Linked DNA regions of Oryctolagus cuniculus. The protein of the gene in region 1 interacts with the protein of each later gene in a pairwise test. Links are inferred from orthologs where the notes say so. Each region holds a gene or a part of one and is shown on either strand. Other genes may lie near its edges. The genes, in order: CEP126 and HMOX2.

Region 1 (4,366 bases):
CAAGCAATAAGGTAGCTAATAGTTACAAGATACCAACTAATAATATAGCAAAAACCAGATTTTCAGGAAAACGTAAATTGCCTAAAAACTCCAAACTGCAACCATGATTTTCTCATTTTATTTGCATTTTGCATTGCCCTACTTTGCCAACTCACAAATCCTGAGAGACAGAGTTGTGATATTAATAGCAGGAATAGAATCAAGGACAATGCCTGCAACTAGATCAATTTAAAACCTGCCATGATAGCGAATTGTCCAAGTGTACATGTTTAGTCTTTCTTTGTCAGGATTATATATTCTACCTTCTTGGTACAATCCTAAAAGGGACTTTTGTGTGTTTTGTGCTTAAAATCAAAATTGAATTTGTTGTGGGACTTTAAAATCTCAGTCCCCAGAACATATTCCAATTTGAGTCATTGCATCCAAGTTTACAAAAACTTGGTTCTAAGTAGTTTTAGCTGGAAAAGTTCATTAGTTCAACTCTAAAAATGAAAATATTATCGTCTCTTGGCCTTTTGGCTAAGATCATGTGTAGTATCTGCTCTTATCAGTTTAAAAATGAAATCATTGATTCACAAAGACAGAGAGAATGGTGGGTAAGTGATCTTTATTTGGTCTGTACATTCTGCTTCCAAACAGGAGTTTTCCATAAGAAAAAAAAAAGAACTAGATAAAAATACAATCAGAAGTGCTTTTATGTTGGACTCCAACAAAAAGTTTCAACCTTTTTCCAAATTTTCATTTATATAGCCTTTAAATTCATGGTTCAAAAATACATTTAACTTAACTCCTGGAACAATTTCAATACAATGGCTTAGTATATCCTCCCATGAAATTATGCGCTTAAGTCTGGACGCCTTTCCAGGCCGCCTTTGCTGTATTGGCCCATTCCCAGAGTCTGGCAGCAAGGCCAGAAATCTGAAATGTAGGCCTTCGAAGCAGGGCGATGGCCAGGAAAAGGACTACAGAGAGAATGGCAGAAGCATCATCGAGTGGGTGAAATGAGTGCAGGGAACGCAAACTTACACTGCACAAAGGCTTTTTTTTAAGAGATGATGTTTGGAAATAGTGATACCCCACACAGGATTCAGTAGTTAACAACAAACCCGACCCTTAATTAACCCAGAGATTTCAGAATCTGCCCTGCGGCAGATGCCTGGTCTACGGATTTTGCGTCCCAATGTCTTCCATCCCTCTCTATACTGCCACAAAAACAACCTCAAGAAACGGGAGGTAGAAGGCCCTGAGGCGCAACACAGTGGTTCTAGTGCAAACATGCGGCCCCAGGGGACGCCTCGGGTTCTACCCTAGGACCGCCAGGCCGCTGAAGGCTGGCGCGGCCGCTGGCGCCTCCTATTGGCTGCCTCGAGCGCGCGTTCCGCCCCGCGCCGCGCTCCGCCCTGGTGTCAGTTGCGAAGGACGCGGCGTCGGTTGGTTACCAAGATGGCGACGGCTGGGAGACTGCTGCCACCTTTGCTATTGCCAGGCAAGGTCTTCGCAGTTGCAGCAGCTGTCGCCACCACGGTCACGAGCGCCTCTGCGTGGGAGTCAGGGCTGCCGCGGCCAGTCTTTCGGCGCCCGTGACGCGGGGCTTGAGAGAAGGCTTGTGGGGAGGGGCCGAGGACGAGGAAGCCGGAGCTGCTATGAGGGAGGCGCTAGGGGCTGGCGAGGAGGTGGCGCTGAGGTGAAGGATGCTGACTGGGAGGCCGGGAGCCAGAAACGCGGTCCCAGGACTGGGCACTGACTCCTCCGACACCTGCGGCAGAGCGCCCCTCAGCCCCCAAGAGAGCGGCGGGCGTCACCGACCTGGCGCTTACCTGTATCCTTCCCAGCCTGTGGCTGCCGGGGTGGCGGTGTTGGCGACGAGGCAGGTGTTTTCCCCATAACTCCCCATGACCGCGGCCGCCAGGTGATGCAAATTAGCAAGTCATCTTAATGCGGGTGTTCTCATTGCCCCCACCTAATCCCGTTCTGCGCCCCCTTCCCCCTCCGCCCTGTTGTCCTACCCCATTCATCAACTTCTTTGTAAAATGTCGGGGATTTTTCAAATAGAGAAACCGTGTATTCTGTAGGAGTTATTTTTGCCTTCTAGAATGATGCCTTTATGTTCTTTACTTACATATTAATCACTTCTTGGTTAATCGTGCCACTTAGAGAAGTGGGAAAATAGAAGGAGGTTTTGCTGTCCTGAAGAATCCGTGAGAACAATTAACCTAGCACGTCTAGATCTGTTTAGCAGAGCTACTGAAGCCTAGCCCTGCTTGGTGATTTGTTTTGTTTTCTCCCTGTGCAGTCTGTTGTCACAGAGACAGCAGAGAAGAAATGAGAAGGAAGGGACCCGAGCTTCCCAAAACAGATTGCCTGGGACTTTTCCCTCATTTTTAGTTGAAGCCAACTTTGATGTTGCTGTTGGTTGCCTTGTAGATAAGCGAAAGAGTTTTGTTTACACAGTTTGCAAACCATGTTTATTCCTTCAGAGACTGTTGTGATGATTAGAATTTAACGTTTGAATTCTCCGGGGACTAGTTGGCAGGGATAATAGTGCCTAATCATCTTCATTCTTGTCTTCTCTTTCCAAAGTAACCTTTATTTTCTTATCCCTATTGTCTCCAACTTTTTCTGGGATGTCCTTTTAACTCTGTTGGAATTTTAACAGCATGTAAGCAATTTGTATTGATTATCTGCTTTTTGGCAGGCTCTGTTCTAGATTCTAGGGATATAAATTAATAAAAAAAGAGAGGTAGGTACAGAGTTTTACTAAGAGTAAAATATCCCTCTTCTGAGCATAATTTCCTGCACGTACGATCCCTTCTATTTCTTTGGTGAAGTTTCCAAAATTATATCCTGCAATAGCAGCTTCTACTTCCTCTCATCTGTTCATAAATAACTCCACTGAGTTTGACTTTTGCACTTGCTACTCTCAAAAATATACTCTGATATGAACTGGGTTATTTTTCTGTATTCATTTGACTTTGCCCTTGTGACATTGTATTTTCCTGGACACCAAACTCCTATTACACTGAACCTGATTTATCATGAAATCAACAGGGACATGGTAAACGGTTCGTGGACAAGGTGTTTCTACTATTGTCATTAATTAAATGATCAAAGATAAAATTGTATATGCAATGTAATACATACAAACACCACAGAAAATACTTGTAAATATAAGGGGACTACAGAAAGTTCCTGGAAAATCTGCTATCATTCACATAATAAATATGAGGTCTCTGCTAACATGACCCCAGCAGTAGATGCTCAGTGAATTTCAAGGCAACATGTTCTATACTTACCAGCATATTTATGACCCTTTATCTTTATGCACTAAAATAAATTATCTTTTAATTCTACTTTTTGACAAACTTTTTGAAGAACCCTCATGGAATTCAGCAGTACATCAAATGAACACACCAAATAGGCTTTATTCCAGAATTATAATGATGGTTTCCTAAAGAGAAATATATACTTTAAAATATAAAGACAAAATGTATTGTTAAGTTGTAAATTATCATTTCTTTTTTAGGTTTATTTATTTTAAATTTTTTTATTTAAGGTGACCATTTTTAATGTATTTATTGCAAGGTGTCTGGCGCTTAACAAATCTTCCCAGGCAGACGAATCGAATCATTAATTCACAGGCTTTTATTGGGATTCCGCTCCCAGGCGAGATTCCCCAGTCCCAACAGAGCGGGGGCGGGGAAGTCATGCATCAGAGGTTGGGAGGGCTCCTTTTATAGATTCAGGGCATGGGGGTTAAAGGTTGAGGCGGGTCTGAACCTCAATGGTTGACCTTTAGGCCCCCGCAGGGACCTTGACAAGAACTTTTCTTCCCCAGAAGTACAGGTAGGGACTTCTCCATTCCCAGAAGTGTAGGCCTTCCTTCCATGTGGATCCCAAAGCTACCATCCCGACCTTTTGATGATAGGAAAAGGGGTGACGATGAGTCTCTCTGGCTACTTCCTGCTGACTGGGGACATTGTCTACAGGGGCCCGCTGTGGGTATCTTGGGACTCCACAGGGACAGGCATGTATGGATGGAGAAGCATCTGGTTGACTGGTTGCTGAAGGCCTTGGTTCATTCCATTATCACCTGATGTAAACGCTTAAACAGACACTGTAGTATACAAGTCAAGGTGAGAATAACAACCAATGATCCTAAGAGTGGCATTAACCAGGTAATGAGAAGATTTCATAGAGGAGAGGAAATGAGGGGGGGGTCTCTGGACCCTTGTGAGGTTTGTTTGATGGACATGGTTTAAATCTAATCCCAGCCAAGACCAGGAGAAAGGCCACTCAACTTTTGCAGGTAGAGGGGTTTGTCTGTAGAGAAATTCTGAATAATCATACAACATTAAGTGGAGGAGAG
Region 2 (4,549 bases), on another chromosome or scaffold:
TTTTATTTTTTAGTTATTTGAGAGGCAGAGAGACAGAGATCCCACCTGCTGGTTCACTCCCCAAAACATCCAGTAAAGATCTCTGTCTCTGTTTCTCTTTCAAGTAAAATGAAAATAAATAAAATCACAGTATCTGCTTAAAAGAAATATATCACCAAGCTCAGTACTGTGGCATAGAGGGTTAAACCACCACTTGTCACACCAGCATATCATGCTGGAGTGCCAGTTCTAGTTCTAATTCCTCTGCTTCTAATCCAACTTCCTGTCAATGCACCTGGGAAGGTAAGGGATAATAGCCCAAGTGCTTGGGCCTCTGCCACCCATGTAAGATACCCAGATGGAGTTCCTGGTTCTTGGCTTTGGTGTGGCCTAGCCCCAGCTGTTTCAGTCATCTGGGGAGTAAATGAGCAGATGGAAGACATCTCTGTCTCCATCTCTGTCTCTCCCTGTCTTTCTGCCTTTCAAATAAATAAATAAATCTTTTTTAAAAAATCATATTATGGGGCTGGTGCTTAGCACAGCAGGTTAAAGTCCTGGCCTGAAACGCTGGCATCCCATATGGGTGCCAGTTCTAGTCCCAGCTGCTCCTCCTCCAATCCAGCTCTCTGAAGTGGCCTGGGAAAGCAACAGAAGATGGTCCAAGTCCTTGGGTCCCTGCACCCACATGGAAACCCGTAAGAAGCTCCTGGCTCCCGGCTTTGGATTGACTCAGATCTGGCTGTTGAGGCCATCTGGGGAATGAACCAGCAGATGGAAGACCTCTCTCCCTGTCTCCACCTCACTCTGTAACTCTTTCTTTTATTTATTTATTTATTTTTTTGACAGACAGAGTGGACAGTGAGAGAGAGAGACAGACAGACAGAAAGGTCTTCCTTTGCCGTTGGTTCACCCTCCAATGGCCACCCCGGCCGGCGCGCTGCAGCCGGCGCACCACGCTGATCCAATGGCAGGAGCCAGGTACTTATCCTGGTCTCCCATGGGGTGCAGGGCCCAAGCACTTGGGCCATCCTCCACTGCACTCCCTGGCCACAGCAGAGAGCTGGCCTGGAAGAGGGGCAACCGGGACAGAATCCAGTGCCCCGACCGGGACTAGAACCTGGTGTGCCGGCGCCTCAAGGCGGAGGATTAGCTTAGTGAGCCGCAGCGCCGGCCTACTCTGTAACTCTTTCAAATAAATAAAATAAATCTTAAAAAAAGAAAATGTCTTCCAACTGTGTGTCTGCACTCTTAAAAAAAAAAATCATATTAAGAGGGGCCAGCGCTGTGGCGTAGCACGTAAAGCTGCCACCTGTGGTGCCGGCATCCCATATGGGCGCCGGTTCAAGTCTCGGCTGCTCCATTTCCGATCCAGCTCTCTGCTACGGCCTGGGAAAGCAGTAAAAGATGGCCCAAGTCCTTGGGCCCCTGCACCCACATGGGAGACCCAGAAGTTCCTAGTTCCTGGCTTCAGATCGGCGCAGCTCCGGCCGTTGTGGCCATCTGGGGAGTGAACCAGTGAATGAATGAAGGACCTGTCTCTCTCTGTCTCTCCTTTTCTCTCTAGGTAACTCTGACTTTCAAATAAATAAATAAATAAATCTTTTTAAAAAATCATCGTATTAGGCCGGCGCCGCGGCTCACTAGGCTAATCCTCCGCCTAGCGGCGCCGGCACACCGGGTTCTAGTCCCGGTCGGGGCGCCGGATTCTGTCCCGGTTGCCCCTCTTCCAGGCCAGCTCTCTGCTGTGGCCAGGGAGTGCAGTGGAGGATGGCCCAGGTGCTTGGGCCCTGCACCCCATGGGAGACCAGGAAAAGCACCTGGCTCCTGGCTCCTGCCATCGGATCAGCGCGGTGCGCCGGCCGCAGCGCGCCAGCCGCGGCGGCCATTGGAGGGTGAACCAACGGCAAAGGAAGACCTTTCTGTCTGTCTGTCTCTCTCTCTCACTGTCCACTCTGCCTGTCAAAAAAAAAAAAAAAATATCATCGTATTAAGAAGTGCATGTTGGGGCCGGCGTTGTGGTGTAGCAGGTAAAGCAGCCATCTGCAGTGCCGGCATCCCCTATGAGAGCCAGTTCGAGTCCCGGCTGTTCCTCTTCCGATCCAGCTCTTTACTATGGCCTGGGAAAGCAGTAGAAGACAGCCCAAGTACCTGGGCTCCTGCACCCAGGTGGGAGACCCAGAAGAAGCTTCTGGCTTCAGATTGGCACAGATCCAGCAGCTGTGGCCATCTTGGGGGTGAACCAATGGATGGAAGACCTCTCTCTCTCTCTCTCTATGATTGTGTGTGTTACTCTTTCAAATAAATAAATAAATCTTCCAAAAAAAAAAAAAAGAAATTCATGTTTGTTAAAAGTTGCCTAAGTACCAAAACAGTAAAATCTGTTCCTCAAGAACAGGCCTTTGTTGTTTTGAAATGCCTACCTGACAGTTCAGAATATTCCCCTGTCACATCTGAACATAGATGCAGTTGATTTAATGACCAAAAAAAGAGTTCATGGCTCCACTTTGGCCAGGATCACAATTTAGATGTGGTCCTCTGATACGCTGTGTGCAAAGGGATTCCCTTCACAACAGCTACATGCCATTACGTCATCTACACTAAAACTCAATAACCAACAATATTTTTTTAAAGATTTTCTTCATTTATTTGAGAGGTCGAGTTACATACAGTGAGAAGCAGAGAGAGGTCTTCCATCCGCTGGTTCACTCCCCAAATGGCTACAACAGCCGGAGCTGAGTCGATCCGAAGCCAGGAGCCAGGAGCTTCTTTTGGGTCTCCCACCTGGGTGCAGGGGCCCAGGTACTTGGGCTGTCTTCTACTGCTTTCCCAGGCCACAGCAGAGAGCTGGATCGGAAGAGGAGCAGCCAGGACTCGAACCGGCGCCCATATGGGATGTTGGCACCGCAGACGGGAAGATTAACCTACTGCACCACGGCACCGGCCCCAATAACCAACAATATCCTTAAATGGAAAGACAAGGTTTCTTGCAAAATAAAGTAAGTGACTGCCTAATCTACAAATACGTAGTACGTTTTGCAATACAGATTTGTAACGACGTTTACAAATGCGTAAACACTGCTTGGCCAGTACCATATGAAGTTTATTAGAAATTTTAAGAAAGAATTTCTGAGGAACTCAAATGCCTTTACTAGTTTACTTTAAAATACACGGCACAGGTACAGCAGGTAAAGCCGCCTCCTGCAGTGCCACCATCCCATATGGGCGCCAGTCCAAGACCCAACTGCTCAACTTACCATCCAGTTCCCTGCTACGGCCTAGGAGAGGAGTACAAGATGGCCCAAGTCCTTGGGTCCCTGCACCCATGTGGGAGACCTGGAAGAAGCCCCAGGCTCCTGACTTCGGATCGCCCAGCTCCAGCCACTGCAGCCATTTGGTGAGTGATCCAGCGGATAGAAGACCTCACTCTCACTCTCTCTGCCTCTCTGTAACTCTGCCTTTCAAATAAATAAATACATCTTCAAAAAAAAACGGGGGGGGGGGGGATACATGGTACAATAGGAGACAAAATCTGGCAAATTAATGGAGTACAGGAAAGCAAAATACATAGTTACAATATTAGAGAACATTCGAGTGGCCACCATACTAAAATTTCTTCTAGCACAAAAGAACCCAACCCAAGCAGTTAATTTAACTGTTAAATAAAAAGTTTGTCTCTCATTGCATGCAAGAATTGGCAATGGCACTGCTTTTCAGCAACATAAAAATATCCTAGTGGGTCAGCATTGTGGCAAAGTGGATTAAGCAGCCACTTTTTTTTTTTTTTTTTTTTTTTTTGACAGGCAGAGTGGACAGTGAGAGAGAGAGACAGAGAGAAAGGTCTTCCTTTGCCGTTGGTTCACCCTCCAATGGCCGCCGCGGCCGGCGCGCTGCAGCCGGTGCACTGCGCTGATCCAATGGCAGGGGCCAGGTACTTATCCTGGTCTCCCAGGCAGGTGCAGGGCCCAAGCACTTGGGCCATCCTCCACTGCACCCCCGGGCCATAGCAGAGAGCTGGCCTGGAAGAGGGGTAACCGGGACAGAATTCGGCGCCCCGACTGGGACTAGAACCTGGTGTGCCGGCGCCGCAAGGCAGAGGATTAGCCTAGTGAGCCGCGGCGCCGGCCTAAGCAGCCACTTTTAAAGCCAGCATCCCATATCAGAGTTCAGGTTCAAGTTCTGGATACTCCCCTTCCAATCCAGTTCCTGCTACTGTGCCTGAGAAGGCAGTGGAAGATGGTTTAAGTTTTTGGGTCCCTGCCACCCATGTGGAAGACCCAGATGAAGTTACTGGCTCCTGGCTTCAGCCTGGCCTAGACCTGGCTGATGCAGCCATTTAGAGAGTGAACCAGTGGATGGAAAATCTCTATCTATCTTTCAAATAAATAAATAAATAAAGTTTTAAAAATCCTGAGAAATACTTCAAAATACAAGAAGTCACAGAGCTTTCATCCTAAGTTTTTGCAAACACAAACCAACTAGATATAATAAAGGAAGTTAAAAAGCCAAGAATCAGGGCTGCTGCTGTGGCGTAGCGGGTAAAGCCGACACCTACAGTGCCAGCATCCCATGT

What was found.
Region 2: the proteins of CEP126 (region 1) and HMOX2 interact in a two-hybrid assay, tested with the Homo sapiens proteins (2 studies listed by BioGRID and IntAct). The link is inferred for Oryctolagus cuniculus from reciprocal best matches to the Homo sapiens genes CEP126 and HMOX2.

Annotation. Positions count from the first base shown.
Region 1 is NC_091432.1:93,341,349-93,345,714, forward strand, and holds the start of CEP126 (centrosomal protein of 126 kDa), read left to right. Parts: upstream 1-1,405; 5' UTR 1,406-1,691; coding exon 1,692-1,819; intron 1,820-4,366. UniProt on the Homo sapiens protein: Participates in cytokinesis. Necessary for microtubules and mitotic spindle organization. Involved in primary cilium formation.
Region 2 is NC_091450.1:31,121,110-31,125,658, forward strand, and holds the start of HMOX2 (heme oxygenase 2), read right to left. Parts: upstream 2,819-4,549; 5' UTR 2,674-2,818; coding exon 2,647-2,673; intron 1-2,646.